4 linked regions of the Diceros bicornis minor genome follow. The protein of the gene in region 1 interacts with the protein of each later gene in a biochemical or structural test. Links are inferred from orthologs where the notes say so. Each region holds a gene or a part of one and is shown on either strand. Other genes may lie near its edges.

Region 1 (8,174 bases):
CCAAAAGATATTTAGGTTTCCAGAAATCCCAATTCTATTCCTCACTTACAGTGGGCTCTGGGCTAGATGCTTTGTCTCTTTGCTTCTCAGTTTTCCTCATCTGTGCAATGTGGCTCATATACCACAGAGCTGTTCACGAATCTTAAAAAATAGACAACCTGGGGCCGGCCCCGTGGCCTAGCCATTTAAGTGCACGCGCTCCACCACTGGCAGCCTGGGTTCAGATCTCGAGTGCGCACCGACGTACGGCTTGTCAGGCCATGCTGTGGCGGCGTCCCACATAAAGTGGAGGAAGATGGGCACAGATGTTAGCCAGGGCCAGTCTTCCTCAGCAAAAAGAGGACTGGCATGAAAGTTAGCTCAGGGCTAATCTTCCTCACCAAAAAAAAAAAATAATTAAAAAAAATAGACAATCTGTTCCCGACAGTTTCTTGCTATGTTGCAGGTTTTCAATACACTGTAGCTATTAAGAAAATTTCAAGATCCCATGAAACCCTCCTCTCTCAAGGCACAAGCACACCTATTCTTTGGATGGCAGCTAAGAGACAGTGTTGGGGCTAAGCTTGAGGATGTGAGCAGTCACGGTATGTGACTGCTTTAATAACACCAACAGTCCAGCTGGAAGGGGCTTTAGAAATCTTGTACTCTAACCCTCTTTCCTGTGAATAGGACGCCAGCACAGCAAGACTAAGGGTTCTGCCCAGAACTAGAACCAAATCTCAGAACTCAGAGGGCGGAGCTCCTCGTCCTATGTCACAACTAGAAAGGTGACCAGCTGAGCACCTAAGGAGCAGCTTACCACTGGTTAAAATCTAACTGAGGGAACCATGAGATCTGAGGGACGGTCAGACCAGCTTACAAATTATCAAAGAAGTAAAACATTTAACACCAATGAACAGAAAAAAAACGAGGGATTAGCTGACATACTGGTGAATGCATGTAAATGACTGAAATGGGAAGGGCTCAGTTTTGAGGAAATATATGGGAATTTTAACTAGATTTAGGAACTGGCAAAATTCAGAGTTTGTGGCTTAGGTCATAGTTCTGAAGAAACAGTCATTTCGCTGACTGGGTTACCTTTCTGGCATCATATCCTCTGAACGCTTGAGGGCAGCAAAAGTTTTATTTCTCCATTTCCCACACCTAACAGCGTGAGGCCCACAGCGCACACTTAACTGTTTAATAGAACTGGGTCAGAAATTGAGGAATGATATGACACGGAGGGTCCAAAAGGCAGTTGGAATCTGGCTCCACCACACGCCAGCCATGTGAAACCTGCAGGAAGTCACTTCATTGTTCTGTGCTTCAGATCCTTCTTCTGTACAATGGGATTATAATGGTGTGAGGAGTAAGTGAATGAAGAAAGAGCACTTAGTTTACCATGTATGTGACAGTATTCTATCAATAAAGGTTAATTGTCACTTTTAAATATTCTGATAAGAAAGTAGGACTGGTATATCACCAGACTTGAGGGACACTTTTAAAGCAGTTATCCAAGGCCCAGAGACCAGGAAAGCAATTTGTGAAAGATCCTCTACCGGGTAAAAGGGCTAGCTCCCCTTTTTAGCCAAAGACCCTTTGTTTGCAATTGCTGGGGAACGGAACAGCCCTAATGTCTCCTCCTCCTTATAGGAAAAGGTCTGCAAGGGGTTTCCACTGCTGGCCTAAGGCCCAAGTTGCTTCTGGTAGCTGTAGCACCGTGACAGGTAAGGATGGAGAAGTCCCAAGAATCTGGGGGTCAGTAAAGGACATCAGATAATCGCAATCCCTTTGCCTGTAATTTGCACGTAATATTTATCCTAACGTTCCCGCCTGAAGATAAATAGCACAAGCTTAAAGTGTCTGCTCTTCCATCTCCCAAATCCAACGGTTGTTGTTCATTACCACACTTAAATTTCCTGCCCTCCAATCCGGCTGTGTAGCGCACATTACAGAAAAACCAGTCAAGGGGCGGGTGGGACACGGGAAAAACGCCCGGATGCAGCAAGATTCCTTATTATCTCTTCTCTGTTCCTCCTCACAGCCTACACTAGTTTTAATTACATAAACCAGGGTGTAAAACGGAAGGAAAAAGGCCTCAGTCCTTCCCTATTGTATGTAGGTACAATCTGATCAGAATGAGAACGGGAGGAAGGCTGGCTGCCCCCACACATGCCCTGGAGCCAGGAATGATGAGGCAACCGGGCTGTGGCGCAGAGAACGTGACCTTGTTTTCTCCGCCAGGCGTGTCTCGTGACGAGCCCCCCCGCCGCCCACCTACCTGCCTAATCTTCATAGTATAAAAGAAAGGACCCACCTGCTTCCGAACCTTTCCCTCCCAACCCCAGTGCTACGAGGGCCAAAGTCAACTCGATTAAGGGAATACCACGTAAGGCAGAAATCGATAGGAGCAAACCCCATTGCGTCAGTTATTCCCACAATTTCCCTGTGATCTTAAAAGCAGCAAATCCAAGGTCCCAGCCTAATCATTCTGGCACAAAAGGGCCACATTTGGAGCACATCCCAACCTACATCGCTTCGGAATACTGCTGAGTCACTCAAGAGCAGGCTCCGCTCTAGAGATGCAGTCGGCTCTAAAGATGGGGACGGGCCCTGGGGATATGGGTTCTGAAAGGTCCGCAGTCAGAACGTCCATTCCACTGGCTCTCCGGGTAGCGAAGGGCGTTCAGGGTTAAGTAACTGAGGGACCACCCTTCTGCGCCTGAGGGCAGCCATCGCGACGCCCCCGGCCCCGCTAATCCTCTCCCCCACCCCCTCGGCACTCCATTACACTCACAGGGACCCTGTCCGGGTATTTCTTCCGGATCTTTTCTCCTTCCTTTTTCCGATATTCAAAGGGATGGTCCTCCTTATACTGGAACTTCATGATGGACCGCAGGGTTTCTAAGATCCCCGGACGGGGCCTGCCTCCCTCGCTGATGACGGCGTCTCTCCCGTCCTGCTTCCCTCCGCCGAACTTCAGTGTGTATCAGAATCGCTTCGGAAATGTCAGCTCCCTTCGCGACGCAGCCTGGCAGAGCTTTCAGAAGGGATCGCAGGTCCCCTGGTACGGAGGTAGGGGATGGCCAGGTAAAGAAATCCCCGCGGCTTTCCCGAGAGCTGGGAACACAAAAACAACGCGGCGCGTAGGCACTGTGACCTCACGGAGCTCCGCCCTTCAGCCCGCCCCCGGCGCTCCGGACCGCGCGGCGTGGGGGTGCGCAGACACGTCCTCCGTGTCAGTGCATTCTCTCTACGTAAAGGTTTCCTGAATAGAATCCATTGCGGACATGGAAATATTTTACTTCTTCTTTTATTGTGACTGTGACATTAAAGATGGTTTTAAAAGCAAAAAAGTATTTTTTTTCGAAAGATGTGTTTCCCTCTCCTTCGCTGTTTCTTGGTTGGGCCCAAAAACAAATACAGAGGGCGAAAATGCAGCTTTTTCCAGCTTGTTGGGATGTGGAGTCTGGGAAAAGAAGGGATAGGGGTCCTGGAATTCCTATGGCCAGTGCAGAAATACCCCTTGCTTGCATTTTGCCCTTTGTCCGTTCAATTTCACCCGCCCGGCACCTCAGGAGCTGTCTGTATCCGTGACCCCTCCCACCACGATGCTGGCGTCATTTTGTTTGGGTCCATGCGGCAATTTGCTCCTAGAGCAGCAACATAAACAGCATGACTCAGGAATTTGAAGAGATGTATAAGGTGAAGGGCATGAGGTGTAATCAAGGTACGGAGACGTGATGTCAGTCACGTATACGAAGGGCTTCACGCATGTTCAAATATAGAGATGATTCACTTGGTCTTGTTAACCCAGGAGTTGGGCCTGTCTTCTGGAAAGGGAAATAGCAAGCAATTCAGGTGATTAACTCAGTAGTTCTCTAACATCCTTTGTCTTCTGCAAAAATTTCCCCTGAGGATAGTACTACTGGTTAAGTGTCCCTAATGTGAATAAAAAGTGCCACCTGAAAGGCCTGCTTTGACCTGAACAAGTCCAGGGAGTTCTGAAAAATATACATTGGACAACGGCAACCGGACACCTATCATCTTTTATCAAGGTTTCAATGTCTCTGATTTAAAAAAAACAAACCCACACACAAAAAAACAAAGTTTCATTATTGAAACAAGGAAAATGAATTACGTAGTCCTACTTCTTGGTCTTAACTATTTTTCTCCACGGCATCTTTCAGCCCTTTTTGTGTATGAAAATCCAAGAAGTGTTTTATAATATGTTTATAATTTTTAGTCCTTATTTTCAAATCGAAAATAGTTTATTTAATTCCTTGTCAGTCATTTTAGCTTTGAATCAAATATAGCTAAATCTTTCAAAGGACTACTTTACAACGAGTTGAGAAAAGTAATTATGATGAAGATTAATATTTTGTTTTCTCCTCCAATGGACTGGAAACAATTGTAGCTAGTTAAAATGCTGATTTTAACTTTTATTTTAAAAATACTTAGGCACAGTGGCAATTTATATATGAAAAATCATTTGGATATGCAATATTGGTTAATCTTTTTTGGTCTTAAGGCCTTTCTAAATGCTAATACTTTATCTTAGAATACCCAATCTGTCAACTTCCAAAGTTTGCTCTCTACCTTTATTCTCAGCCTAACATTTAAAATATTATACAGAAGGGAATTTTATAAATTAATACAATCAGATAAAAATATTTCAAAATTCTTTTTTTAACCAAAGACAAAATACTATATTAAAAAGCTCACATTTCAGGAACTCGCATTCAGTGCTGACAGGGGTGGAAAATAGTACAGCCACTTTAGAAGACGGTTTGGTGGTTTCTTAGAAAACTAAACATACTCTTATGACATGATACAGAAATCATCCTCCTTAGTATTTACCCAAAGAAACTGAAAATTTCTGTCCACATAGAAACCTGCACGAGGATGTTTATAGCGGTTTTATTCATAATTGCCAAAACTTGGAAGCAATTAAGATGTCCTTCAGCAGGTGAATAGACCATAGACCCCCCCCCCATTAGAGGAATGTTAAAGAATTTGTGGACGTGTTTTGAAACCACCACTATTACTCAAACCCTTTCTTAATTAGTCTTTAATTTTGTTTGTATCATTTTTAGGAAAAAGAGAAAGAAAAAGTTCACTGATGCCAGAATAAATATAACAAAACCATATTTCATTGTGTGTTTTCTTAGCATCATTCAGTGGTCAGAGATTCTCTGTAGTCTTTGGGAAAATTTCAAATTCCTTAATAGAGAAATAGAGTACTTATGCTCTGGCTGCTATTTCTCTCTCTAGCCTCATATATAGAACATATATGTTCCAGGCATACTAAGTTACTTAATTTACTTCTTTCCCTTTCTTGCCCTTGGTTCTGGCCATTGGATATTCTCAAAGGCTCCTCCTATGAAAATATTACCTCCTATTTTTTTCTATCTAATTCCTATAAATCATTCATTGTTTAGTTCAGGTATCAGCTTCTCCAGGAAATCTTTCTGATTTCATTTTCCTGGGTCCTTCTGTATCCTCTGTGTGTAAGTAAACATAAGTGAGGCCATCTTTGTTATGCTAAATGACCCTTTCCTAGTTAAAACCCTTCTAGTGTGTGATTATTATAAATTACTACATGCTTTCATGATTTTCTGGCCCTGATCCTCTCCACATACCCCTGCTGAGGTACTCTGATACCTTTGTTCCTAACAGTCTTAACAAATTTTCCCAAGGAATAAGAAGGCTTCCAGGAAGAAGGAACACCTGTAGGATATTCATCATCACTGACAGAAGATAAGAACAATGAGGGACCCATGTCGAAGGCCGGCATCTCTAAACCCTGTCTTTACTGCCCATTTTCCCTATATAACTGCCTCAAGATTCTGTAAATCTTTAAGATGGCTTTATTTGAGACATTAGTCTCCCATCTTCTGATTATGCTGGCTAATCAAATAAAAGCTTCCTTTCTCAATCTCTAACTAGTTGTGATTAATTGGCTCAAATCACGGTGAGCAGAACAAGCCCGTTGCTTGGTAACAAGTGTGCTTCCAAAGCATTGTGTGCTTATCTTTGTCATTGCACTTATAATGATGTATTGTTTATTAGATTATATGATACCTATTAGTTCTCATTGTTTTTGGGGGAGAGATATACATGGTTTTGAAGGCAACTACTACTTCTGCACTGACATCACATAGTTTTTCTAGTGGGATCCACCCATCATAGACCCTCACTGCCTTGACCGTTTAGAAGGCCAAGTAACTTACACAAGACTAATCAGAATCTTTTCTTAGAATTTCCCACATATAAACTAAGGGAAGTAAGCCCCCTCTTTGGTGATGAAGTTTGGATGATATAAAATCAGAGGCTTATAGTAGTCATTGTTTTAGTCTCATGCAGTCCAAATTTGCAGTCCAAATGCACCAGTCCAAGATAAAGACAGGTAAAGAAGATGACACTCAGAGAGGCAAGATATATAGATATGTCTAGAGAGAGATATAAAGATAGAGTTGGAGGGAGTTCTAATGACATTTAAGTCCCTAGTTTCAGGTAGTCTCTCCCAATAGACTCTGTGCTATATGATGGCATATTACTTGTATTTTTGTCCTCAGTGCTTTGGATACAAAGTAAAGACTCAAAAAATGTGCAGTATGTCATAGTCAAAAGAGCAAAGGGTAGACTTCTGATTTAAAATGGCAGATTGAAGAAGATACATTTATCTTTGCTGTCTCCTGAAACTCCACCAAAACAACTGTGTCATGGGTTGAATTATGTCCCCCCAAAAGAGGTTGACGTATTATCCTGTATCTGTGAATGTGACTTTGGAAATAGGGTCTTTGCAGATGATCAAATTAAGATGAGGCCATTGGGGTAGACCTTAATCCAGTATGACTGGTGTCCTTCTGAAAAGGGGGAAATTTGGACACAGAGACAGACATGCATAAAGGAAAGGGGATGTGAAGACACAGGAAGAATGCCATCTGTAAGCCAAAGAATGCTAGAAGCTACCAGAAGCTAGGAGAGAGGAATGAAACATTCTCCCTCACAGCTCTCAAAAGAAACCAACCCTGCCTACACCTCGATTTTAGACATCTAGCCTCCAGAACTGAGAGACAATAAATTTCTGTTGTTTAAGCCATCCAATTTGTGGTACTTAGTTAAGGCAGCCAGTGATACTGTGATTTATAATAGGAAATATATATTTGGTCTGCTACCCCATTCCTGGCACAGAGCTCCTAAAACCCTTGGAATTTCCTAAGTGTTGAGAGGATAAAGGTGTCTTTTGCGATGCTAATGAGTGACTGTTGGAATGCATCTAGGTAACCTAAGGATGGGCGATAGTCACCAGAGGAACCACCCATGAGATTAGAGAGTTGAAACTTTCAGTCCCAAGCCCCCCAACCCCCTGTCCAGAAGAAAGGGGCTGGAAATTGAGTTCAATCACCAATGGCCAATGACCTAATCAATCACCCTTATGGAATGAATCGTCCATACAAACCCCAAAGGACAGGGTTCTGAGAGCTTCCAGGTTGGTGAAGATGTGGAGGGCTGGATGAGTGATGTGCTGGGAAAGGGCATGGAAGCGCCACACTCCTCCCCACATACCTTGCCCTATGCACCTCTTCCATGAGTAAAATATTTCTATGAGTTCTGTGAGTCACTAGCGCAAATTAATGAAACTGGAGGTTATATGATATTTTCCCTCTTCAAAACTTACAATGGCTTTCATAGAATGCAGGATTGAGATCAGACTGCTTAAGCTCACATGTAATGCCTTCCATAGAAAGATGCCAACCTATTGTCCCTGACTAACTGCCCCAAGTAACTTGAAGGAGGTTCCAAACGCACTTGACTGTTTTTCAAAGTTGTTTTTCAGTTACGTTGACAGATGCAATCACCAACTGCCCTGAACCAGTCCAAATCCCACCACAAAGAGCGAAGCTTTCGCAGACAGGCGGAGAAGTGTCCAAAAGTTACCTTTGCTTCATTTTGATGTTAAGATCTCTGCCTCAGGAGGAGCTTCAGCCTTATTAGCATAATGTGTGATGTATGTGAAAGCGTGTTTTCAAACTACGCCTCCGGGAGCTTATACCCACCTCTACATGTGATGATGAAACTTCCCTTTTGAATATTCATTCTCCATCCAAAATAAAAGGCCCCTGCTTTCCCTTGCTCTGCGGGGCCATGGCTTTGGAAGTGATTCCATGTGGTCTCCTTATTTGCTGCAA
Region 2 (7,644 bases), on another chromosome or scaffold:
ACTGGGCCAGATCCGACTTTAGGAATAGAGAAGTTTACCAAGAAATTCCAGTATCAGCTTTCATTAAGACTCAAGCAGTAAAACGCTTTGGAAAAGCCCAATAAAACCACAGCTTCTCCCAAGAAGGCAGAGAGACACTTTAAAACAAGAAACATATGATAATACAATAAGTAAATTGCTGATTTTTCTTTTCTTTTCTCTTTAACTCATCTGTCAAAAGAAATAGTATCTGTAAAATTACATACAACTAGCTGAAGTTTGAGCAGGGCTTAATCCTCACTAGCCTAGAATCCCCCTCGGAAATCAGGGTGTCCCCTATGGCTGAGCAGCCCTTAAGTGAAGCAATAAAGCTTATGGGAATCAGTTCTTGGATCTGAAAGGTGAAAAGGAAAATAAATCACTAATTTCCACGCTTACCACCATAAAATTTTTACTCTCAAAGCTCAAAAGGAATCACCGTACACTAAAATGCATCCTTCTTAAAACGTACCCCTACTATGAAACCCTACATCCTGACTGCTCCTTTCTTTTGGAAAGCCTTGCCTGTGGTTCTATTTCCATTGTTTCTATAAAGCAGACCCTTGGCCTCAGGCATTCTGTCTTATTCTGTGACTAATTCAAATATTCCTGCAGAATCAGTAACCCATATGAAAATGGATTTCCTTTTTTCTTTAAAGAAATACTCTGAACATATAAAAAGATGGATAGAATAATATAACAACACTGGTGTACCTATCACCTGGTCCTAGAACTAAAACACTGCAAGGACAGTGGAAGCCCCTGGGCACCCATCCCCATTCACATTCTCCTCTATTCCCATCGGCAGGAACCACCATCCTGAATCAAGGGCTCATCACCCCACGCAGCTCTCCCACTCACCACACAGCATGTACATTTACGTGATCTTCTTAATCTTTACCTAAATGGTATCATTCTGTATGTACTCATTCTGTAACTTTATTTTTCTTGCTCAATTTTATGTTCATGAAAGTCATCCACATTGACACCTACAGCTCTCATCCCTTCGTGTTTACTGCTGCATAATACTCCCTTATAGGAATATACCACATATTTGGCCAAAGACACTGCTTGTGGTTTCATATGGCTGCTATTTAATGCCGACTCAGTGCCAGCCATTTTCCATAACGTTTTCCAGAATTCTCACAACCACCTAATGAGGAAGGTAAGATTCCCACTAGACCAAAGAGGAAACTGGGACAGAGAGGTGGTGTAACTTGCTCAACACATGTGAGTGGCAGACTCAGGCTGTAAGTTCAAGTCCACCCAACTCTAAAGCTACACTCCTGACACTGCACCTTGTAGCCCCACTTACGCAGATACCTCCATTATTTAATGTTTTTTAATTAAATATACAGGGCTCCAAAGTCACCTGAGAAAATCTGAAACAGGATGCTCTATTTTCTTTTTTAACAAACAATTTCACAGGAAATTCATCTGACACAGGAACAGTCCATGTATAGAGTGAGGACAAGCCTCTGCCTCTGGCAAAAGTCCCTGTGTACTCGCTGGAGGCATTCCTGAGTTTATATAAACGCTTTCTAAGTAAGCTCGAGTTGAACTGCAACCCTGCTTGGCTTCCTCTGGAGTAACAGGCTTTCTGTGCCCACTTAGAGACGGGATGGAGGAGCCTGAAAGAACATGGGAATCAGAATCTGCGGGAAATGGAAACAGCTGAGTTGACAAAGCTCTAAGAACGACCCCAGGGAGCAGCTCCAGCTGCTGCCAGCTCCGGAGGTCCCAGGGAATAGTCCTGTGCTCACAAGGCCAGAGCGCTAGGCACAGCCCACTTTGCTCTCCACTTGGCCAGCTTTGCAGAGAGCATTCACACATCCCAGCCCAGCCCTGCTGCTCTGGAGAAAGCCCAGCTTGCAATACGGAAGGGAAGCAAGAAAGACGAGCGAGGGTGGAGGCTCACAGGAACCAGGCAGGGAGCAAGGCTGGGAGAGATGTGACCAGCTCGGGGACAGGGCCCAGATCTCCAGGTGCTCAAAGCAGGAGAGTCACCAGGAGGTGAAGGGGCCTAACCCTCTAGGAACTCCCAAAGACAGGGGAGGCCTCTCAGCACCAGGACCAGGACTTCTGACTCTAGCCCCCTGCCTCTATACTTTATCTCCCACACTGTGTCTCTCTGCGAAAAGATTAAGGAACCTCGAATGAGCAAGGCAGAAATGGCTGAGGCAATCCTTTCCCACCTCTCCCAGCCAAAATAAGGAGCAAGAAAACAGGCTCTGCCACTTACTGGCTGTGTGACCTTAGCTGGAGAGACCCTGCCTACTCTGGAGGAGACTGCAGTGGATTATCTCTAAGGGCTCTGCCATCTCTGACTCTCTGTCCATAGCACTGAATGCAATAACATTTACCGAGCAGTTTAGAGTATAGTTCATTTAATCCCAACACTCTTACAAGATAGATACTACTGGTATCCCCATTTTACAGAGGCGGCAGCTGAAACAGAGAGGTTAAATAACTTACTCAAAGTCACGAAGCCTACAGTCACGGATGCCTCGGAGGGATGCACAGGACATCGACAGGATGGGGGCTGGGGGCGACACAAGAGTGGGGCCTGAGGGTAGGCTGAGGGAGATAATGGGTCAAAGTGTCTGAGGAAGGGAGACGGGACTGAGCAGCCCTCTGGCCTAAGCCTAGGTCCTTAGGGCATGAGTTGGGGGCACAGGGACAGTGTCTGGGGAAGAAGCGGGGAAAGGAAGGCAGACTACGGAAAGGAGGCTGCAGGGAGAAAGTCCGATGGGCATAGCTAGGCTGGCTGGGGTCGGGGGCGGCTCCGGAGGCTAAGAAAAGGAGCGGGCTAAAGGGCGTATGAGCGGGTTCTGCGGGTCCGGGTGCCGGGCTTCGGGGCGCGCGCGTTCCCACCTTGAGCACCGTGACGGCTCCCGCGCTGTGCACCTGGAAGTGAGCTGGCGGCTCGGCGCCGGGCTCCGCCGCTTCGTCGGGGCCCTGGTAGCTGAAGCAGGCGTCCGCGATGTCCAGGTGGCCGAGGGGTATCGCGTCCTGCGGGCTCTTGAAGTAGTAGAGGTAGCAGCGTCGCGCGTCGAACACGAACCAGCGGCTGCGGTAGCCGCGCAGCGGGCCCTTGCCGGACAGCTTCTGCAGGTAGCCGCACAGCCGCGCTGGCTCCCGCCCGGGCCCCGCCCCAGGCTCCGCCGCGGCCCCCGGGGCCGCGCCCTCACCGCCGCTGCCCTCCTCCGCCCGGGCCCCGGGCCCCGGCATCGCTAGCCAGCGCGCCAACCGCCACTGCCCGGGCCCTCGCGCCTCCTCGCCGCCGCCGGCGCTGCGCCCCCTCCCACAGCCCCGCCGCTCCGCACGGCCTGCGGGCGCGCAAAGCAGCCTGGGACGTGTAGTCCCGCCCCCGCCCGCCCCCGGGAGCCCCCGCCCTAGCCCCATCTCCAGCCCCAGCTCCCGGTTCCCAAGCGTCTCAGAGGTGAGGTCTGGGCGGGTTGCCCCTGCGCCTCATTGCCTTCGTGTAACATGAGGCTCAGAACCCTGCGCTGCCAGGGTGAAACATTGTTCTATTTCTTTACAGGAGTGTGGGTTACACGGGAGTGTGCATTTCTCAAAATCCATCAGAGTGTCCCCTTAAAACTGCATTTCATTGTATGTAAATTATACCTCAATACAAAACTTTATTTTTAAATCTCTGCCCTGCGAAAATCACGGGCTAATACGAAAATGAGAGAGCCTATTGCCCTGCGCGGAGTGGGTGCTCAGTAAATATTTGCAGAATGCATGAATGAAAGTGTAAGTATTTCCCATCTCTTCAGTTCCTTCACTGAATTCAACAAATGTTTATTGAGCGCCTTCTGTGTGTCAGGTACAGTTCCAGACCCTGAAGGATACAGCAGTGAACGAGCCAATCATTTCCCTTCCTCATGGAGATGATATTCTAGTGAGAGAGAGATAACACCCACCCACCCACCCACCCACCCACCCACACACACACACACACAAGCAGATAAATATATACTGTTATATGAATGCTGTGATGAGATTTAAATAAGGATTACCACTTAAATAGCACTTATTACTTGCCAGTGCTTTATAAATTAATTCATTTGAACTCTCACAATTACTTCAAGAGTCAATTACTATTGTTTCACAATAAAGTAAGAGGACGGGGTGATAGAGGGCAGGAGTGGCAAGCTGTTCCACAAGTACAGGAAGCCCCTCTGAGGAGGTTGCCTGGAGCAGAGACCTGGATGATGTGAGGGAACAAGCCTGCAAAGATCCGAGGGGGGAAACATTCCAGGCAGAGGTGACAGCAAGTACAAAAGCTCGCAAAGGCAAAATGGTGGTTATACCTACCTTTGTGAAAGGGCTAGATCAAGACAAATATCTCACCTTCTTCGTTTTGCATGTTTTTACAAGACACACTAATAGACACAGGTAGAAATCAGGCTTTCTGAGATGGACAGGGACACCAAATTAGACTGTCTGCCTGGAACCAGACAGGTAGGAAGGGTGAGGTCCCGGGGCCTCACCCCACCAGCCAGCCGTGTTAGCTTCCAGGTGTTCATCAAGGGTGAACCAAGGTGTTCGTCAAGGGGCCCATCAAGTGTGCCTCCACCTTAATGCCCTTCAGTTCTCTTTGAGCATGATACTGCGCAGTATTAAGAGCTGGCCTCTGGAGCCAGACTCATGAGATTTGTCTCCCAGCTCTGCCACTAACCAGAGGTATGACCTTGGGCAAGATATTTAACCTCTCTGAGCCTCAGTCTCTTCATCTATAAAATGGGGATAATACAAGTGGCTACCTCATACCATTGTTCTTGTAAGGGTTACATGAGAAATGCATGTGAAAGTGCTTAGCACAGTGCCTAGCATATGGTAAGCACTCAATACGCATCAGCTATTATTATTATTGTTATTCTTGTACAGTTAACACTGATGCCCTCCTCAGAAGCTTCCAAAAAGGGAGATCTAGCAGTCAGACCAGGCCCCACATGTGGGAGGCCAGAGAATGCACTGTAGGAGTGGGGTGGGCCGCTGTGCGCAGTGAGGGAATGGAATTCAATTTGAGCCTCACCCTACGGGTAAGAGGGGCTGTGACTAATTGGCTTGTGGGGCAGCAGCCTGGGTGGGGTGTGACTGCGAATCCTATGGAAAGGGGAAGAGCTGGGAGAACTGGGTCTGTACAGCTATAGTACTGGGACGCTGCAGGGTAGGGGCAGGGAACAGCCCATCTCTGTCCTCTGCTCTATCAGTGAGTTGTGAGAAAGTGTGGGTGGCCGTGCCCTGTAGTCCTGGAGAAGTGAACTAAGCCTCGTAGGGTACTGTGTGGAGGCAGATATCTGCTAGACGTGAGGAAGTCATCCTTCACAGGCAGAGGGAGTGAGCCTCCTCCCTGGGGCAAGAGTCTGGGCTGGCTGACCGGGGCATGGCAGGTGGTACTGGACAGGAAACATCTACAGTCCCTCCTGCAGCCGATGTCTGTGCTTCTCAGCGGGCAAGCTGGGCCTCAAGCCTGACCCTCCTGTCCTTGAGCCTCCACTGCCTCCCCGGTCACCCACGGCAGAGGAGTGGGGCCATTTTAACATGCTTGCACGCCTTTGCCCTCTTCCTTTTGCAGGCCACACTCCACATCACATCAAACATTAAAATTGCCCACATCCCATAGTAAACATATATGTAATTTTCTAAAAGTGTTTGAAGGAATTTCTATAATTATGCTCTTGATATTATCTGACTATGAGGAATTCATTTTAATTTACAATTGGCTACAACCTCCTGGCAATCATCGTGTCTATGCAGGAATCCTGGCTGAGTAAGAAAAACCCGAACTACAAATTGTTTTTAAAGGGAATGACATTTTTATGATTACTGCGAAGTTGACATAATGTTACACTTTCCAGACATTCAATTAAATGTTTATTAATTTTGATTTTACTCTTTTTCTCAGGTTTTGGAGTCAATATATTTTTCTTAGGCTACAAACATTTCATAGGCCCTTTGAAAGCTGGTGGGCCCAAGCACTGGGCCTAGGATCTAAGGGATAAACTGGCCTGGCCCTTGCCTGGCTCTGGCCTGGACCAGAATGTGGCCCTCTGAGGAGGCTGCTCAGCCACAAACCCTGAGACCCCAGCTAGAGGGGCAGAGCACAGAGGCCTCAAAGCCGGCAGCAGCACCTCAGCAGGGGCCCTGGAGGCCTTGAGTCTCTGCCCACCTGGCCGGCAGGCTGAGCCCAGTAGAAGTGGCCCAAGCCTTCCAGGGCTCTGTCGGGCCTCCAGGACCAATCCCGAAACCCTCTCGGCCCTCCAGACCTCTCCCAGGTCCCCCTGCCCTGCCACGTCTCTCAGGGCCACTCTGGGATGCTGGTTATTTCATGAGCAAACCTTGCGTCGAATCGCCTCTCATCCCCATGAGCTGAAGGGGGCTAGAGGACGGGACTTCAGCTCGTCTCTCTTAGCACCTCTCCCATCTTCAATTTGGATAATTTTTATAGTTGATGTAAAATGGTAAACAAATGCAGCTTCAGTTTCCCCCCTTCTCTAACCAGATCATTCCCCTCAAGGCCCTGCTACATGGAAATTCTGGGGCTGCCTCTGGTGGCTCCTAATTCCTTGGAACACTTCTTAAATGACTTGTTGACATTTTGCAGTTCCTAAGGTCTCTTAGATTAAATGTCACAGTCCTGTGGTCAGGGGGCCAGCTTTACACAGAGTATGTACCTCCCCTGTGTCTAAAATGGGTGTGCTTGGTGCCAGAGGGTCTGCCCTGCATGCCCATGTGAGCCCCTGCCCCCTCAGTGACCAGAAGGAAGTGGCCAGTCCAGGAGGAAGTGGCTGCTGTTTACGGAAAAGGGGAAATTTGGGCAGTGAACTTGCTCCCACATGGTCAGTCTCTGGGCAAACCCCAGGGGGAACGCAGAGCCAGTGACTCATCCTAGGCCAGTTTCCCCAGAAAGGGACTTGATGAGAGGCCTCTTAAGAAGCACCCAGCCACACACTGCCCTCTGAGTCTCTCAGACCCCAAGGAGACAGAGCTGGCCAAGAAACTGACCTGCCACAGGAGGAGCTCGCAGTCCCGCAGGGAGCCCAGAGAGGAAAATAGACCTTCTCACCTGATACGCTGTGTGTCCTTAGGGGTGTCTGTGCCCTCTCTGGACTGCAGTTTCCCACCTGTCCAATAAGGGAATGGATGGCTGGGCAATCTCCAAGGGCCCTGCCCCTGCCTGCTCTGAAATGTATCAGTGGCATGAGGCACAGCTGTGAGGGCCTGTGGTCACTCTTCCTACAGCTCCCCAGACCACTGGAGGCTCTGCTCTTTTGAGCCTCCGTGCTCAAAGGCCTCTCGATTTTTCCGGCCATCCAAACTGACCTATCCCTTCCCTCAGGGATCTCTTCCATCCTACAGGCTTGGCCGCCCACTGTGGTTAGTGCGAGCACTACCACTTTGGGGTCACATATTTGCATCTTCCCTGGGCCCTGCTGGAGAAACTGCCCTAACCACCACCACCCACACATAAATGGCACAAATGGAGGCCTTCTGTCCCCGAGACCGAGTACAGGCAGAGATGGTGCCGTTATTTGGGGGTAGGAGACACAGTGCAATCCTGGCAGGGCCTTGCTAAACCCAGAGCACATCTGGAGGAAGTTGGCCTGGATGGGG
Region 3 (7,361 bases), on another chromosome or scaffold:
ATATCTTAGGCTACAAAGTACTCAAATAAGATACTGTATGAAGCAGGCCTTCAAGGAAAAATAAAACACAGATTACTAGTAAAAAATAACACAAACTTTTCTAAAGGAAAAGCATGAACAAAGGCAAAGTTGGGAGTACCCACAGCCTACAACCTAAATAAAGAACAATATGCAAGATAAACTAAAGCAAATAGTATTCTATGGATTATTAAGAGGTTCTGTAGGACAGCAAAGCGGGGAATAGAAGGAGGTAAGGGGCAGGGAACCAGGTTCTGGTGCCCGGCGCCTACTCCAAACAGAGCCTTTCTGCTGTTAAAATGTTTCCGCTGTTAAAAATTTTTGAAAACCACTGGACTAAAGTGCCCAGTTGGAAGGCACTGCTGTAAATCAAGTGTGAGGGTCATAAAACCCTGGAATGGGGTAGTAGTTCTGTATTGGAAATGAAATGGGAAAAAAAAATGAATCCACAGACTTTTTCATGGAAAATTTGACAGGATCTAATGATAAACTAGATGGGATAATGAAACAGTGGATTTGCAGGGGTCGGCCCAGTGTCACAGCAGTTAAGTGCACGCGCTCCGCTCTGGCGGCCTGGGGTTTGCAGGTTTGGATCCCGGGCACAGATCGACGCACTGCCTGTCAAGCCATGCTGTGGAGGCATCCCATATAAAGTAGAGGGAGATGGGCATGGATGTGAGCCCAGGGCCAATCTTCCTCAGCAAAAATAGGAGGACTGGCATCGGATGTTAGCTTAGCTCAGGGCTAACCTTCCTCACACACAAAAAAAGAGTGGATTTACACGAAAAAATCAAAAATATCAACTGAGCAGCAGCTGCTGGTCATACAGAGTTGAACATCAGCAACATAAATATCGCCACATAAAAATGTCTGAGCCCTCAGGAAGTGCTACTCAAGGCAGAAAAGCAAAGTGGCATTCTTACACGGATTAGGAAGAGAACAAGCAAAGGGAACCAGAAGACTGTAGAAACAGACGACAACCACATCATGGAACGCAAAGGAAGCAAGCGAGTGTTTGAAAAAGAGGCATCACTGTACACAATGAGAGGGTTCACAGCCTTTGCAGCCAATCAGACCCAGAGTTCTGGCACCTCCTCCACTTCACCAAGTTATTTGACCTCTCTGAGCTTCATTTAATAAGGAAAACATAAACTAACAACTAACATTACTGGACACATTATGGAGCATTGTGCTAAGTGCTTTTAACACATGACCTCATTTAACCCTCACAATACATTTTACAGATTAAGAATTAAAATTTAATTTAGTACTTAGCACAGAAAATTGCAGAGCCAGGATTCCTATTTCTCAAGACATTAAAATAAAGGAATGTATATATAAAGTTCCTGGCAAACAGGAGGACCTCAAAAATGGTAGCTATATTTTATTATTAGAAGGTAATGATCAATAGGGACAACACAAAAATTACTGTGAGTAATCCCAGTCATAGCCTTCCAGGTGGCAAACTCACTTAGCATCCTCAACTACAAAACAAGATTAATGCCCGTAATCCAACCTACTCAATACAGTATTGAATTAAATGATGTTATGAAGGATTAAATGATATTATGAAAATACTATGAAAAAATATTAAGAGATATTAAAAAATAAAGGATTAATGTCACATATCTTTTGCTCTTCAGAAATGCTTTCCTGGATCAACATAAATCTCTCTGAAGAGAGCTAAAAATAAGTCTGTTAACTGTGCAAGCACCATTTTGAAAAGTATAAGTCACCACAGAATGGTGATATACACCACCCACGCCTCCCCCTGACCCCTCCAGGTTCTCTAACGTCCCCGCAAGGGCAGGGGTTCTCTTACACCTATAATGAAACTCTGATAGCTCAGAGTAGAGCTAATCAATAGAGAGAGCTTCTACTTCAATTCAGAGCTGTTCAGATTGGCCTTATGGCACTATCTCAGAGATGCCCCCTTACAATCCTTCCAAAACAGAAAAGAAAAAAAAAGGTTTCCAATTTTCTTCTATAGTATTAAAACTGGGTGCCCAGTCAATACGAGAATTCAGACACTTTACGAAATGTCAGAAAAAAATCTATCAAGGGGTCTGTCTGATAGCAGGTATCTTTTAGAAAATTCTCCACGACTCCCCTTTTTGCACCTGAACAGATGGTTTCCAGGCCTCGAGGCTCACATGTCTGGTGACACAATTCACAATAGCACACAAAGTTCCTACCTTTTAAATTATTTCGTGTTCTTGAATACACCACCTTTCATCTAAAGATCTCTAGGTATCAAAACAAGAACTCTTTAAACTTCACAACAGCATTATCTGGGAGAGAGATTAGTACCCTTATTTTATAAACTAAAAATGAAAGGCTGAGGTTAGATGTTTTACCCAACATCAGTTAGTTGATTCATTCTTCGGGGGGGGGGCGGGGGGGATGCACATTATGAACACATATCAATGGAGAGCCTAGATTTAGCTCACTTCAAATATTAGTTCAAATGTATCTACGGTGTACTCTGACATTTCCAATATATCGAAGATTAAATCCAAACTAAGAGTAAATACCAAAGCATCACTATTTTTACATGCTAAAAGAAAAAAAAAGCTATATGGGGGAGGGGTTCTAATTTAAGAATCCTACTGTCTTGCATCCATAAATACTTTTGAACTTGAGGGAGGGGAAGGCACACCTGTCAGCGCAACATATTCACAATAAGTTTACAGACTGTGTAGCTATTAATATTTAATTCCTTAAACTGTAAATAAACAATCCGCCTTCTCAAAAAAGGCAATATTATGAAAATCATTTGAGAAGAAAACCAACATAGTTGTAAGAAGCCCAATAATTTCCTAGGTTTACGTCTCCCAGGCTTCGTGAACTTGCCACAAGGGAAAACTGCCCGCCCAAGAGTCCGGCCGCGGGGAGCCCGGCGCTGCCCACCGACGCTCCACGCGCACCAGGCCCGGCCGGCCGCGGGGGAGGCGAGCTCGGCCTCCCCTCGGGCCCCCTCGCCCCGTGGACAGACGCGGCCGGCACTCGGACCCGCCTCCCGACTCTCGGCGCGCCCGCCTCGGGGCCCCGCAGCCGGGGAGGGGGTCGCGGTCCGGCCCGGCCTAGCCGCCCCTGCCCCGCGGCCGCCGGCGCCGCCTCCCTCCTTCTCCCCGCTCCCCGCGTTCTTTACCTTTTGGGCGCCGGCGGCTGCTCCATGGCGGCCAGGGGGCTGAAGGAGCGACCTGGTGGGCGGCAAAGGCCGGTGGGAGGAAAGGGGCCGAGGCACCGGCCGGCCGAGCCAGGGGAACCAGAGAGGGAAACTCCAGGAACTCGGACCAACTTTCCCGTAACTCTGCAGCGGATCCCCACCCCTCTCCGGAGCGCGGCTCCTCCCGGCGCGCCCCGCCCCTCCGCCGCCCGCCCGGGTCCAGGAAGGGTGGGCGGAGCCAGGCGCGGGGGGGGGGGGGGGCGGAGCCGGCGGCGGTCCAGAGAGGGTGGGCGGAAAAGGCCTCGGTGCAGGCGTGGTGGGCGGAGCCAGGCGCTGGGGAGGAGGCGGAGTCGGGGGCGGAGGGAGAGGCCGGCGGTAGTGCAGCGAGGGGAAATAAGGAGGGGAGACTGGAAGAGCCAGAGGACGAGGCCGAGTCAGGACCGAGAGCCGCTGTGTGCTGGTCAGGGACTTGTTCCTTTGCGCTATCCTAGAGCTACTGCCCCTCAGTTGCCTTCATTGCTTTTACCCCAATACTATTTGACTCATTTCTTTAGCTTTCTCAAGGATACATCCCAAACATCTTGTACAGCCGTTTGAAGTATTACTAACTGCCCACGCTTCCCTCTCTAGTTCTGTTTGTAATTACTGGTTATGTTCTCTCCTAGCCATTTGACATTTGTAGCTACAGTACCAGGGATACTTCTGGAAATTCTTGTTTGATGTTGATTGTGAACAAGCTCCTCAATACATTTCACAATAATTACATCTAATTACAAAGAAAATAATTACTGCAGTGAGATCTCCCAGTGCACCAAATTCAGTGCACTGTGGTCTTGCCGGCTGTTCAATTGGGTAACCCGGCAAACCTATCGCAAATTAAAGTGCATAGGAAAGCACTCAAAAAAAATGTGTTTTCTTCTCTCTTGCCACCCTCTCCCTCCAACCTGTTCCCAAGGCCCTTACCCCATTGCCGTTTGACCCCTTCATGTGTCTATATTGTGCATATGCCATTTTACCTTAAATTCCATATATAGATATCTTGCTTATGACCATATACAGCTGCTAGGTAATGAGTTTGCTTGTTTTTGTTAGAAATTTATCAAGATGTAGAGTCATATAGAGTTTTCTCAGAGATAAGAACAAAGAATATGGAGAGAATGTTGAATAAAGGAATTTTATGAACATTAACCCAAATTAAACTTGTCTATTAACAGTTATTCCTCTTTTTGCATTGTTTCACTATGTAATAAATTTACATGATTTATTTTCAAACCATTATATTCCCCCCTAAATTTAGTTACGTTAAATTCGTTAAGACCATTCATCGTTGAAACCTAGTCAAAGTCTGTAAACAAGAGAGATTATTACAAAATTTTATACTCATTTAGATTTATTAAAGATCTACAGTCTAACAGTTCAGAAGTAACAGGACAACAAAAAACTAAACCATTAAGATGTTAAAGCTAGGAAGAACATTTGAAATTGTTTCATCTGTCCCTCACTCTCATCCTCACTTCCACGCCGTAGTCCCGTATTCTTGTATTTCATCAGAAAAATCTCTTTCAGAGAGGGTAATTTCATCTTTTTAAAAAATTGCCATATTTTTAAATGGGCTCAAATAGACATACTTTAAAATGGATGCTGAATTATGTTACCAACCTCAGTCTCCACGAAGCATTTCCCAGTCAAATCACCAGCACCACCACCCCGCTACCTTTGACACTGAAGTTGTGAAAGAGATGCCTTTCTTATACGTGCCCATAACACACTGTGCTGGCTTTTGCATGATACTTATCACAGTTGATTGAAGTTCTGTTTATTTGACTGTCATTCCAACCCAGCTGTGAGTTTGTTGAGAAGTAGACCAGGTCATTATTCTCTCTATCTCTTGCATAGCAAGTGCCTTACACATAGTAAGCTGGATAGCTTCCTTTTGCACCCCCCAGATTCACTCTCCATCCTTTTCCATCTGCTCTCTGCCCTAGGGGCTGACCTGTATAGCTGACATCCTTGGAGTCCCAGCTCTCTGGCTTATAGTTGGGTCTGATGATAGGGAGACCAACAGGAGATCATCTGAGGGAGAATGGAGTATAAGGCTATTTATTCCCCTGGTTCCCTTCCTGTGAGGTTGTCTAGGGCCCAACTCTTCTTGCTTCCTCTCCTCCCTGTGGGCCTATGGGTAGTGACTGGTCTGCCAATCCCCAGATTCCTCCTCTATTCCCTATGTTCCCCTAGACCTCAACCCTCCTCAAATGACCCTAATTTGAGTGTACCTTCAAAAACTTTTCCTAATGGAACCCTGACATAGTTACCCATAAAGAAAGTTTGTGGAGGAGGAGGAATAATATCAGAAAATAAACCTTTGAGGTCTTCACTCAGTCTGAAAAGGGAGACGGCTAACAATGGTTGTATGACTCCAATAAGGTCAAATACTTGGCTACATTGTCTCATCAAACCCTTAAATCTACCTTGTTAGGTAGTTATTTCCATTTTATAGGTAAAAAGAAACTGAGGTTCAAAGAGATGAAGAGAGTAACCCTAGGCCAAATAGAAAATCTGCATTCTAACCCAGGCCTTTATACTTCCAAAGCCAAGCCTTGTCCCACTGTAAGTCAGTCAATAAATATTTACTGAGCCCTTATGCATACTAGGCACTGTTCTAGGTGCTGAGGATTCATCAGTGAATAGACAAATAGACAAAAATTCCTGTTCTCATAAGATTTACATTCTGGTCGAGGAAACATAAGGTAAATAAGCACCTAATCAATAATGTTAGTGCTGAAAACTGGTAAGGAAGAAAAATAAATTGGGGAAGGGGAATATGAAGTGGAAGGGAAGGGATGAAACTTAGATAGGGTGGCCAGGGCAGGCCTCAGTGAGAGGGTGACTGAGGAAGTGGGGGAGAGCCATGCCCATGGCTACGGGAGGAGACTGAGACCAAGGAACAAGAAGTGCTGAGGCCGGAGGCAATCGTGCCTGGTGTGTCATGTGTTACTGAATGAAAGGAATTGTTTTTTTACTGAATTACTCAGAAAAGAAAAATTAGCCTGAAGTCTCTGTTTCAATTTGTCTGTGGAAAGCTAGCCTGAAGATTCCAAGAAGGAAAGCATAGAAATCATCATTCAACCTGCAAACAACAGGCAGCAGCATTCATGAACAATTGAGAGCTATAGGAAAATCTGAGATACAGGTAAGAGTCACTCAGCTTCACGTAACTGTGAAAGCAGGATAATCTGTTTCTGCTTCCAACCGTTCCAACTGGAATGGAGGTTAAGTATGCACTTTAATTATACTAGCAAACAGCTCACCAGAATTCTCAACTGCGTGCTCTGAGAGAAATGTGAGAGAAATCTGCAATTTGGGACCCAGTTCCTTAGAATAACAAAACTGCATTTGTTGTCACTGAATAAATACCACCATGTTTTATGAGTAGAAAAATATTAAGGTAAGAAAAATTTTTTTCCTTATTATACTAGTTGCTGCTACTTATTGAAACTGCAAGTTTGTATTACTCTTTTTTCTCATATTTATTTGAAAAATAATACTAATTAACAACTGCTTATCTTTTCTACTATTACGAGGAAGAGTTTGGGGAAAAGAGAATATATTACATTATGTAACTTTTTATTTGCAGGGAAATTCAGAATTATTTCCTTTCAAGAGGCAACTTTACAAAATGTTTTCCCTTGATCTGTTTCTCTTTTCTGGCTTAATTTTATAGTTAGCTTGGAACTAGCATGTTGCATTTGAATTCAAACACTATCCTGTTTTCTCAGAGCAATCCTAAACTTCTGTTTCGCTTATTTGTTTCTCTGACCAAACTGTAAGCCTCTTGGGAATAAGGACAGTATCTTATTCATATTTATCATCTCAAAAGTCTAGCATATCAGTTAACTACAAGTAATACCTCAAAATGATTTTTAAAACAAGAAGCCTAGAGGTAGATGTTTCTAGGTTTGATTAATTCTTTGATTTGCTTCCATTTCCTGCTCTGCTGTGCACAACATGGTCTCCTCAACCTACCTCCCTCCCCTCAAATGATGGCTGCCAAAGTTCCAAGTTCACCTGGACACATGACAGTGTCCAGCAAAAGAAGAGGGTTCATTCTTTCTGAATACCACTTTTGAAGATGATGGGAAAACCTATTCTAGAAGCCCCTCTGCAGACTTCCCTT
Region 4 (8,072 bases), on another chromosome or scaffold:
GTAGGAGAAGAGGTTAGAGAGGTTTTCAGGTTTTGAAATGCAGTCATGGAAAAGAGAGTCTCAGTTAGAGGAATCAGCACTGTTTACTTAGTCATGGCATATAAGGAAGAGGCAATGGTGAAAAAGCTAGGGATCCATTCCAACAATAGCCAACCCATCCTAGAAACCCTCCGAGTTGTCTTTTGATCTAAGGGAAAGGGGAATTGATGATGATGTTAAAACGTTTAGGGGGCCGGCCCCGTGGCTTAGTGGTTAAGTGCGCGCGCTCTGCTGCTGGCGGCCCGGGTTCGGATCCCAGATGCGCACCGACGTGCTGCTTCTCCGGCCATGCTGAGGCCGCGTCCCACATACAGCAACTAGAAGGATGTGCAACCATGACATACAAGTATCTACTGGGGCTTTGGGGGGAAAATAAATAAATAAAATTATAAAAAAAACAAAAACGTTTAGGGGACAAAGTTTCCGCTTCAAGAGAGATATGTCCTAGATAATGCTCTTGAGGGGGCTGCATAACTGCATTTTGTCTTTAGAAACTTTATGTCTGTTGTGGGCAAAAGCTTATTGTAAATGAGTTGTCAAAACCAGGTGAACAGAGAAGAACGTTGTCTGCATACTTTATAAGGAGCAAGTCGCAGGGAAAGGTTCAATTTCTCAGGTTTGCATTTAGGGTCCTAGAGAAATAAGTAGAGGACTCAGTAAACCCCTGAGGCATGGCAGTCCACATGTATTGTTGATTCTTCCACGTGATGGCAAAAAAGATTGTGAGTCAGGGTGAAGAAGGATAGTAGGGGGAAAAAAAGCAGAACATAAGTTGAGACTGTAAAGTGATGGTGTTGGATGGGATATAGGCCAGACTGGTACTAGGGTTAGGAGCTAGAGGAAACCTGGGCTTAACTACTTAATCCTCACAAGTGTTGGACTAGCCAGTATCCCTTGCCATTAGGATTCTTTACTGGGGGGATTGAAGTATTACAGGATGTGTCAATAAGGCCTTGAATTATAGTTTGAAAACTTTGGAGGGCTTCTAGTTTTAGATATGTTATGGTAATCTTGGAAGTGGCATGGAAGGATCTATTTCTACTTCAGGAGGTTCAGCCTCCCTGATTTGGCCCACGTCAGTGGACTGAGCAGCCCAAAAGGAGTCAGGTATTTTAATTAACATAGTTTGTACTTAGGTGTTGGGGTTTTTACAGGGGCAGGAAAAGTCTGATGGTCAATGAGAGACACAAAAGAGCAATGATACATAAGCGTGGATTCAGAGGCTTCAAGGGTGAGGCACTTGGGAGAGCAAAGAATACTGATAATTCCAATTGGAAAGTAAATGCCTTCCCAGAATGTTTACGAGGATAGTGGAGCTAAGGAGAAAGCTATGCCAGTGGTGAGAGGTACTAGTGAGGCAGAGAGAGGTTTAGACAAAGGCAAGTCATGTGCTGGATTATCAAGTCCCACTGCAGGTATGGTTTGTGTACTCCAAGGGAGGATAGTGGGAAAATAAAGGCGTTTATATTAGTTTTGTGGGGCTGATATGGTACTTTGTTATGTACCACAGACTGGGTGGCTTACACAAAAGACATTTATCGTCTCATACTTGTGGAGGCAAGAAGTCCAAGATCAAGATGTCAGCAGGGTTAGTTCCTTCTGAAGGCTATAAGGGAAGGATCTGTTCTAGGCCTCTCTCCTTGGCTTGTAGATGGCTGTCTTCTCTCTGTGTCTCTCCACATCATCTTCCTTCTATGCATGTCTCTCTCTGTGTTTTAATTTCCCATTTTTATGAGGCACTAGTCATACTGGATTAGGGCCCACCCTAACGACCTCACTTTAACTTGTTTACCTCTGTAAAAACCCTATCTCCAAATAAGGTCACATTCTGAAGTACTAGGGGTTAGGGTTTCAATACATAAATTTTGGAGGAATACAAGTCAACTCATAACAGAGTTAATGGTGAAATCTTTGCCTCTGTGTCCCCGGGTGGGATGTCCACTGATGGTTATTATTTCCCCTTGCACCTTGAGAGCTGTGGACAAAAAAAGGAAGGTTTCTTGGAGGAAAGTCATTGAAGAGATGGATTTTTGGACTCTTGTTCACTTTTGTATTTTGAGGCCAGGCAACACCAAGTCCAGTGTCCCTTTTCTTTACAATATCTGCTTATCTCTATCTTTGGGAGTATTGGAGGGAGCAGATGATCCCGTTATTTCCTTCAAATTAAGTTGTAAAGTCATTAGTTTGCATTGTGTTGATTTGGCCTTTTCTGCAACCGAGTCCTCGTGATGTATTTCATGTGTATGTATTTCAGAGAGAGATCACTTCCCTAATTTACATTATGTTTTGGATAATGTCTCTAATTTCTGGCCATAGCCTTAATGAAGCTAATGACCAAGCTGGAAAGGGTTTAGTTGTAGCCCTTCCAAACATTTTCTAAACTATGTATATAGCTGGAGACAGATTCATCTGTTTGTTTTCTGCACTCTTGTATCTTTGACCAATCAATTTTTGAAGGAAGACAGTGGGAATGGATTCTAAAAGTCCTCTCCCCTGTGGTTTCAGCTGGTAGGAAAGCCTCAGGGGTGTTCTGATTTCTTTGAAGGTCTTCTTGAAGAGTGGCCCATTTGGCTTTTCAAACAATAAAGTGGCATCTCCGGGACCCATAAGTAGTTCCACAAGTTGATATAAATCAATGGATCCCAGGAGAATATACCCCAAGCATCAGTCTGAATTGATCACTAGATTCTTCCCTATTCTTATGGGGGTCCAGAAAGACTTTAACAGTAACATGTAAATCTGAGCAAGATCAAGGATTAAAGAATACTTGTTCAGGTGGGTGCTCAGGTCACAGACCTTCTTTCACAGGTGGGGAACGACCAATAATAAGGGTTAGGATGGGGAGTTGGGGGCAAAGTAGTTTAATGGAGGCAGGGAGGGGTAAAGAGGAAGAATAGAGACAGAAGGAAGAAAGAATCCACAGGAAAAGGAGGAATAGTGGGAAGGAGAAAGGGCTGGGTTGGTCACATGATAAATTCTGGGTGAGGACAGGGTCATGAGATTGGACTGATGGTAAAAGAGACAGTCCTTAGGAGACGTTACAGTTTGAGATAGACTGGAGACTTTCTTATTTTTCAGCCTCCACATACCAAGCAAAATAAGCTGACCATTGGGGAGAAAAGATCTTCGAGTCCCAAGGTTTGAGGGCATCTTATACCTAGACAGGCTTAGGGAGATTCCAAGTGTCCCAAAGGGGCCACTGGAATTATAAGTTGTCCTCAGTAAAATCCTGCCATTTTTGGAGGTAATGATCTGAATTTTCACCTTAGTGGTGAAGCATATAATTGGTGGGAATTTTGAAGAGCACTGAGAAGTGGGTTGAGGGTTTCCCATAACACTAAGATTAAACAATAGCTAGCAACAAAACCAAACCAAAAGATGGCTCAGAGAACCAAAATCAAATCCTTACCATGCCACCATGGACAATTGTCTGGAGCACATGGATCAGGAGCTGGACTCACCACGAGATCCCCGAATCACCAGTCAGGGAAGTAGCACACAGGCTCGAGAGGCCTTAGTATCTAGGGGGAGAAGACGGGGGCCCAGAGGTGGGCTTCTAGTTTCATTTCAGTAATGGCACCAAACTGTCAAAAACCAAACAAGTAAGGAAATTTATTTTACTCAGACTATTGCAATATGGAGAATGGCTCAGATCTAAAGGCAATCAGTTCTGCCTTAGACCTTTATAGGGAGGAGTTAGACAAGTTATAGGAGGAGTGGTTTACAGTTAGGATTGCTTTTGTAACCAGGGAAAGTCTCAGTCAGTAAGCTGAATAGAAAATGTTTACCTTTGTGTCTAGCTGGTTTGGGCAGGCTTCTAATCTCAGTTAATCATTCATGAGACAAAGGAGTGGAAATTAGAGACCCTGTGTTGGGCCTTGTTGGCAGGTGCAGGCACAAATGGAAACCTCTGTGTTTAACCTTCTCACAGGTAAATAAGGGAGTCATCTGTGAGTCTTAGCATAGTCACAAGAAAGAGTGGACAATGAGTCTTATCTAAGTCAGATGGGAAAAGGTGGTTTGTTGTGATAAGCTATTTCCAAACACAATAGGGTGGGGAGATTCCGGGGAGGATAAAAAAGGTTGAGGGATTTCTTAAATATTACTCTTCTCCTGGAGCACAGGGATTAGGTAAAGTTCAAATTTTTAGGTTCAAGGTTAATTTATAAACTGTACACTTTAATTAATAATACTGTATTAAGTTCATCACTTGTAACAAATGCACACTCTAATGCAAGATGTTAATAATAGTGGAAACTATGAGGGGGTGGAGTATATGGGAGCTCCTTGTAACTTCCTGCTCGATTTTCCAGTAAACCCAAAACTGAGCTTAAAAATAAAATCTATTAATTAAAACAAAACAAAATGTAAACGGATCTCTGCAGAAACCTGCAGGGTTTTTAAATCTTTCCTAGAGTCTTATACTTTCTAATGAGTGCTTCATTTTTCATAAATGCTAGAAAAAAAGCTAAAATTTATTGAACCTTTATATTATAGGTACTGGGTAAGTACCATTCTACTAATCAACAAATAGTTATTCAGAGCATCCAATATATCCTATGCAATTTATCTCATTTAATCTTCACACAACGTTATGAAATACTATTGTTATTCACATTCTAAAAAACAGGAGACAGTTCTGAGAGAGAAGTCAAACAATAAATACTAGAACCGGCGGCTAATCTAGATTCAAAACCCAAAGTTCTAAACCATAAAAGCGAATCTAACCGAATTAGCCATTTCTAATTCCGTCAGCCGAAACAATGAACAGCCGATAAATCTCGCGATATTATTGAAACTACTACTCCCGACATGCAAAGCGGCTTCTGTCCATCAACCTATCCCCATAAGTCTGGAGGACCCCGGCAAGCCTCGAGGCGCGAAAGGCAACCTGGGAGCCGTAGTTCTCCTGGACACCTACCAGTTATTGCCAGCGCAGTGGAGGTGGCTCTCTTGGCTCTACCTGCAGGTCCTGCGAGGGCGAGCTGAGGTGGAGAAAGGGCGCAGACCTGGAAAAGGGTGAGTCAGGCACGGTCTACGTGGTAAAGGGAGGCGGCACCGCGGTATAGGGCTGAATTAAGTAAATGGACCTGTGCTGCAGTCTCTCCGGAGACACCACGATCTTAGCGCCGGCGAGAGGAGGGTGAGGAGGAGCCAGAGCCCGGTCCTTGCACCCGTCCTCGCCCTCGGCACCGCGCCGCCATCTCCACCATGCAGTCCCGGGAAGAAGCTCCGCGTTCTCGCCGCCTCGCCAGTCCCCGCGGAGGGAGGCGGCCCAAGAGGATTCACAAGCCATCCGTTTCGGCTTTTTTCACGGGCCCGGAGGAGCTGAAGGACACGGCCCATTCTGCAGCCCTGCTGGCACAGCTCAAGTCCTTCTACGATGCACGGCTGCTATGTGATGTGACCATCGAGGTGGTGACACCTGGCAGCGGGCCTGGCACAGGCCGCCTCTTCCCCTGCAACCGTAATGTGCTGGCTGCCGCGTGTCCCTACTTCAAGAGCATGTTCACCGGCGGCATGTACGAGAGCCAGCAGGCGAGCGTGACCATGCATGATGTGGATGCTGAGTCCTTCGAGGTCTTGGTTGACTACTGCTACACGGGTCGCGTGTCCCTGAGTGAAGCCAACGTGGAGCGCCTCTACGCGGCCTCCGACATGCTACAGCTGGAGTATGTGCGAGAAGCCTGTGCCTCCTTCCTAGCCCGCCGCCTAGACCTGGCCAACTGCACCGCCATCTTTAAGTTTGCCGACGCCTTTGGCCATCGCAAGCTGCGATCGCAGGCCCAGTCCTTTATAGCTCACAACTTCAAGCAGCTCAGTCAGATGGGTTCAGTTCGGGAGGAGACTCTGGCAGATCTGACCTTGGCCCAGCTGCTGACCGTCCTGCGCCTGGATAGTCTAAACATAGAGCATGAGCAGACTGTGTGTCACGTAGCTGTGCAGTGGTTGGAGGCAGCTCCTAAGGAGCGGGGTCCCAGCGCTGCAGAAGTCTTCAAGTGTGTCCGCTGGACACACTTCGCTGATGAAGATCAGCATTACCTAGAAGGGCTGTTGACCAAGCCCATTGTGAAGAAGCACTGTCCGGACCTTATTGAAGGGGCCATTCAGATACGATACGGTGACATGTTGTACAAGTCTGTGGTGCCTAAGTCAGAGGACAGCAGCAGCTCTGTTGTATCCGCAGCAGAAAATCCACCCCAGAGGCTAGGTGTGTGTGCCAAGGAGATGGTGATCTTCTTTGGACATCCCAGAGATCCCTTTCTATGCTGTGACCCATACACGGGGGATATTTACAAAGTGCCGTCGCCTTTAACCTGCCTTGCTCACACTAGGACTGTCACCACCTTAGCAGTCTGTGTTTCTCCAGACCATGACATCTATCTAGCTGCCCAGCCCAGGAAGGACCTCTGGGTATATAAACCAGCCCAGAATAGTTGGCAGCAACTTGCAGACCGCTTGCTCTGCCGTGAGGGCATGGATGTGGCATACCTCAATGGCTACATTTACATTTTGGGTGGGCGAGACCCTATTACCGGAGTTAAATTGAAGGAAGTGGAATGCTACAGTGTTCAGAGGAACCAGTGGGCGCTGGTGGCTCCACTACCCCATTCTTTTATATCCTTTGACCTAATGGTAATTCAGAACTATCTTTATGCTCTCAACAGTAAGCGCATGTTCTGCTATGATCCTAGCCATAATATGTGGCTGAAGTGTGTTTCTCTTAAGCGCAATGACTTTCAGGAAGCCTGTGTCTTCAATGATGAGATCTATTGTATCTGTGACATCCCGGTCATGAAGGTCTACAATCCAGTCAGAGGAGAATGGAGGCAGATAAATAATATTCCCTTGGTGTCAGAGACCAACAACTACCGAATTATCAATCATGGCCAAAAATTGTTGCTAATCACCTCGCGCACCCCACAGTGGAAAAAGAACCGGGTGACCGTGTATGAATATGACACTAGGGGAGACCAGTGGATTAATGTAGGTACCACGTTAGGCCTCTTCCAGTTTGATTCTAACTTTTTTTGCCTTTCAGCTCGTGTTTATCCTTCCTGCCTTGAATCTGGTCAGAGTTTCCTCACTGAGGAAGAGGATGTACCAAGTGAATCTAGTACTGAATGGGATTTAGGTGGGTTTAGTGAGCTGGACTCTGAGTCAGGAAGTTCAAGTTCTTTATCTGATGATGATTTGTGGGTTCAAGTAGCACCTCAGTGAAATGTACAGGACCAGCAGAGTTAGTTGTACATAGGCTGAAACACTAGATGTTTTTACTGCTTTGGAAAATATCTTAAAGAGATACCCTTTCCCTTTGCTGGAAAAAAAGTTGATTAATTTCAGGTTTAGTTTGGAAAGGGTATGGTTTGAAATAGTAATGTAATTTAATGTTACAGAATTTGAACGCTCAAATCAACCTATTTAATAATTTACTGTTCTAAAAGTCTAGTATTGATTTGATTGTTTAATATGTTTATGTTTGATTATACTAATTTAGTCTTCTCTTATTAAATCTTGCATTCTGTTGAGTGCCACAAGTATTGTAACTTGAATTTTAATTTTTCTCATAGAATACCAATTAGATAGGAATTACTAGATAGGGTTTTGAAAGAATGTATTTTCCTTCAGAACAGTGTAGTAGATTTCCAAAACTTTAAACTAGTGGATTTTTACAAAATGTGTTCTAACTTAAATATAGTTTGCTAAGTTTTAGTTTAGTTTCCTCCCCTTTTGTGAAGGAAAAAAGTACATATATGTTTAATGTGACTGAATGGTGATTTTATTTTTAATAATATACAGAATGGCTGTAAGCTCACTGAAAGTAAAAACAAACAAACAAACAGGAATCTACTGTTTTAAAAGAAATTGCAGTTTTAAATTTGTAATATAAAATGTGTATTTGCAAATCATGGCCAATTTTCCGTCTAAAAAATTCCATTCTAGTAGTGTCACCAATCATCTAAAAACCTTAAAGGAACAAACAGTGACTTGCTTTGTATGTTTATATTTTTTATCTATACTTGATAGATGCT

Evidence for each region.
Region 2: the proteins of GABARAPL1 (region 1) and TBC1D2B form a complex in vitro, tested with the Homo sapiens proteins (2 studies listed by BioGRID and IntAct). The link is inferred for Diceros bicornis minor from reciprocal best matches to the Homo sapiens genes GABARAPL1 and TBC1D2B.
Region 3: the proteins of GABARAPL1 (region 1) and STK3 form a complex in vitro, tested with the Homo sapiens proteins (2 studies listed by BioGRID and IntAct). The link is inferred for Diceros bicornis minor from reciprocal best matches to the Homo sapiens genes GABARAPL1 and STK3.
Region 4: the proteins of GABARAPL1 (region 1) and kelch repeat and BTB domain-containing protein 6 form a complex in vitro, tested with the Homo sapiens proteins (2 studies listed by BioGRID and IntAct, with this or other methods). The link is inferred for Diceros bicornis minor from reciprocal best matches to the Homo sapiens genes GABARAPL1 and KBTBD6.

What each region holds. Positions count from the first base shown.
Region 1 is NC_080756.1:51,971,731-51,979,904, forward strand, and holds the start of GABARAPL1 (gamma-aminobutyric acid receptor-associated protein-like 1), read right to left. Parts: upstream 3,057-8,174; 5' UTR 2,867-3,056; coding exon 2,777-2,866; intron 1-2,776. UniProt on the Homo sapiens protein: Ubiquitin-like modifier that increases cell-surface expression of kappa-type opioid receptor through facilitating anterograde intracellular trafficking of the receptor. Involved in formation of autophagosomal vacuoles.
Region 2 is NC_080744.1:70,965,900-70,973,543, reverse strand, and holds the start of TBC1D2B (TBC1 domain family member 2B), read right to left. Parts: upstream 3,250-7,644; coding exon 2,893-3,249; intron 2,561-2,892; exon of another isoform or gene 2,494-2,560; intron 1-2,493. UniProt on the Homo sapiens protein: GTPase-activating protein that plays a role in the early steps of endocytosis.
Region 3 is NC_080760.1:17,574,236-17,581,596, forward strand, and holds the start of STK3 (serine/threonine-protein kinase 3), read right to left. Parts: upstream 3,293-7,361; 5' UTR 3,196-3,292; coding exon 3,170-3,195; intron 1-3,169. UniProt on the Homo sapiens protein: Stress-activated, pro-apoptotic kinase which, following caspase-cleavage, enters the nucleus and induces chromatin condensation followed by internucleosomal DNA fragmentation.
Region 4 is NC_080748.1:35,166,810-35,174,881, forward strand, and holds the start of kelch repeat and BTB domain-containing protein 6, read left to right. Parts: upstream 1-4,979; 5' UTR 4,980-5,250; coding exon 5,251-7,260; 3' UTR 7,261-8,072. UniProt on the Homo sapiens protein: As part of the CUL3(KBTBD6/7) E3 ubiquitin ligase complex functions as a substrate adapter for the RAC1 guanine exchange factor (GEF) TIAM1, mediating its 'Lys-48' ubiquitination and proteasomal degradation.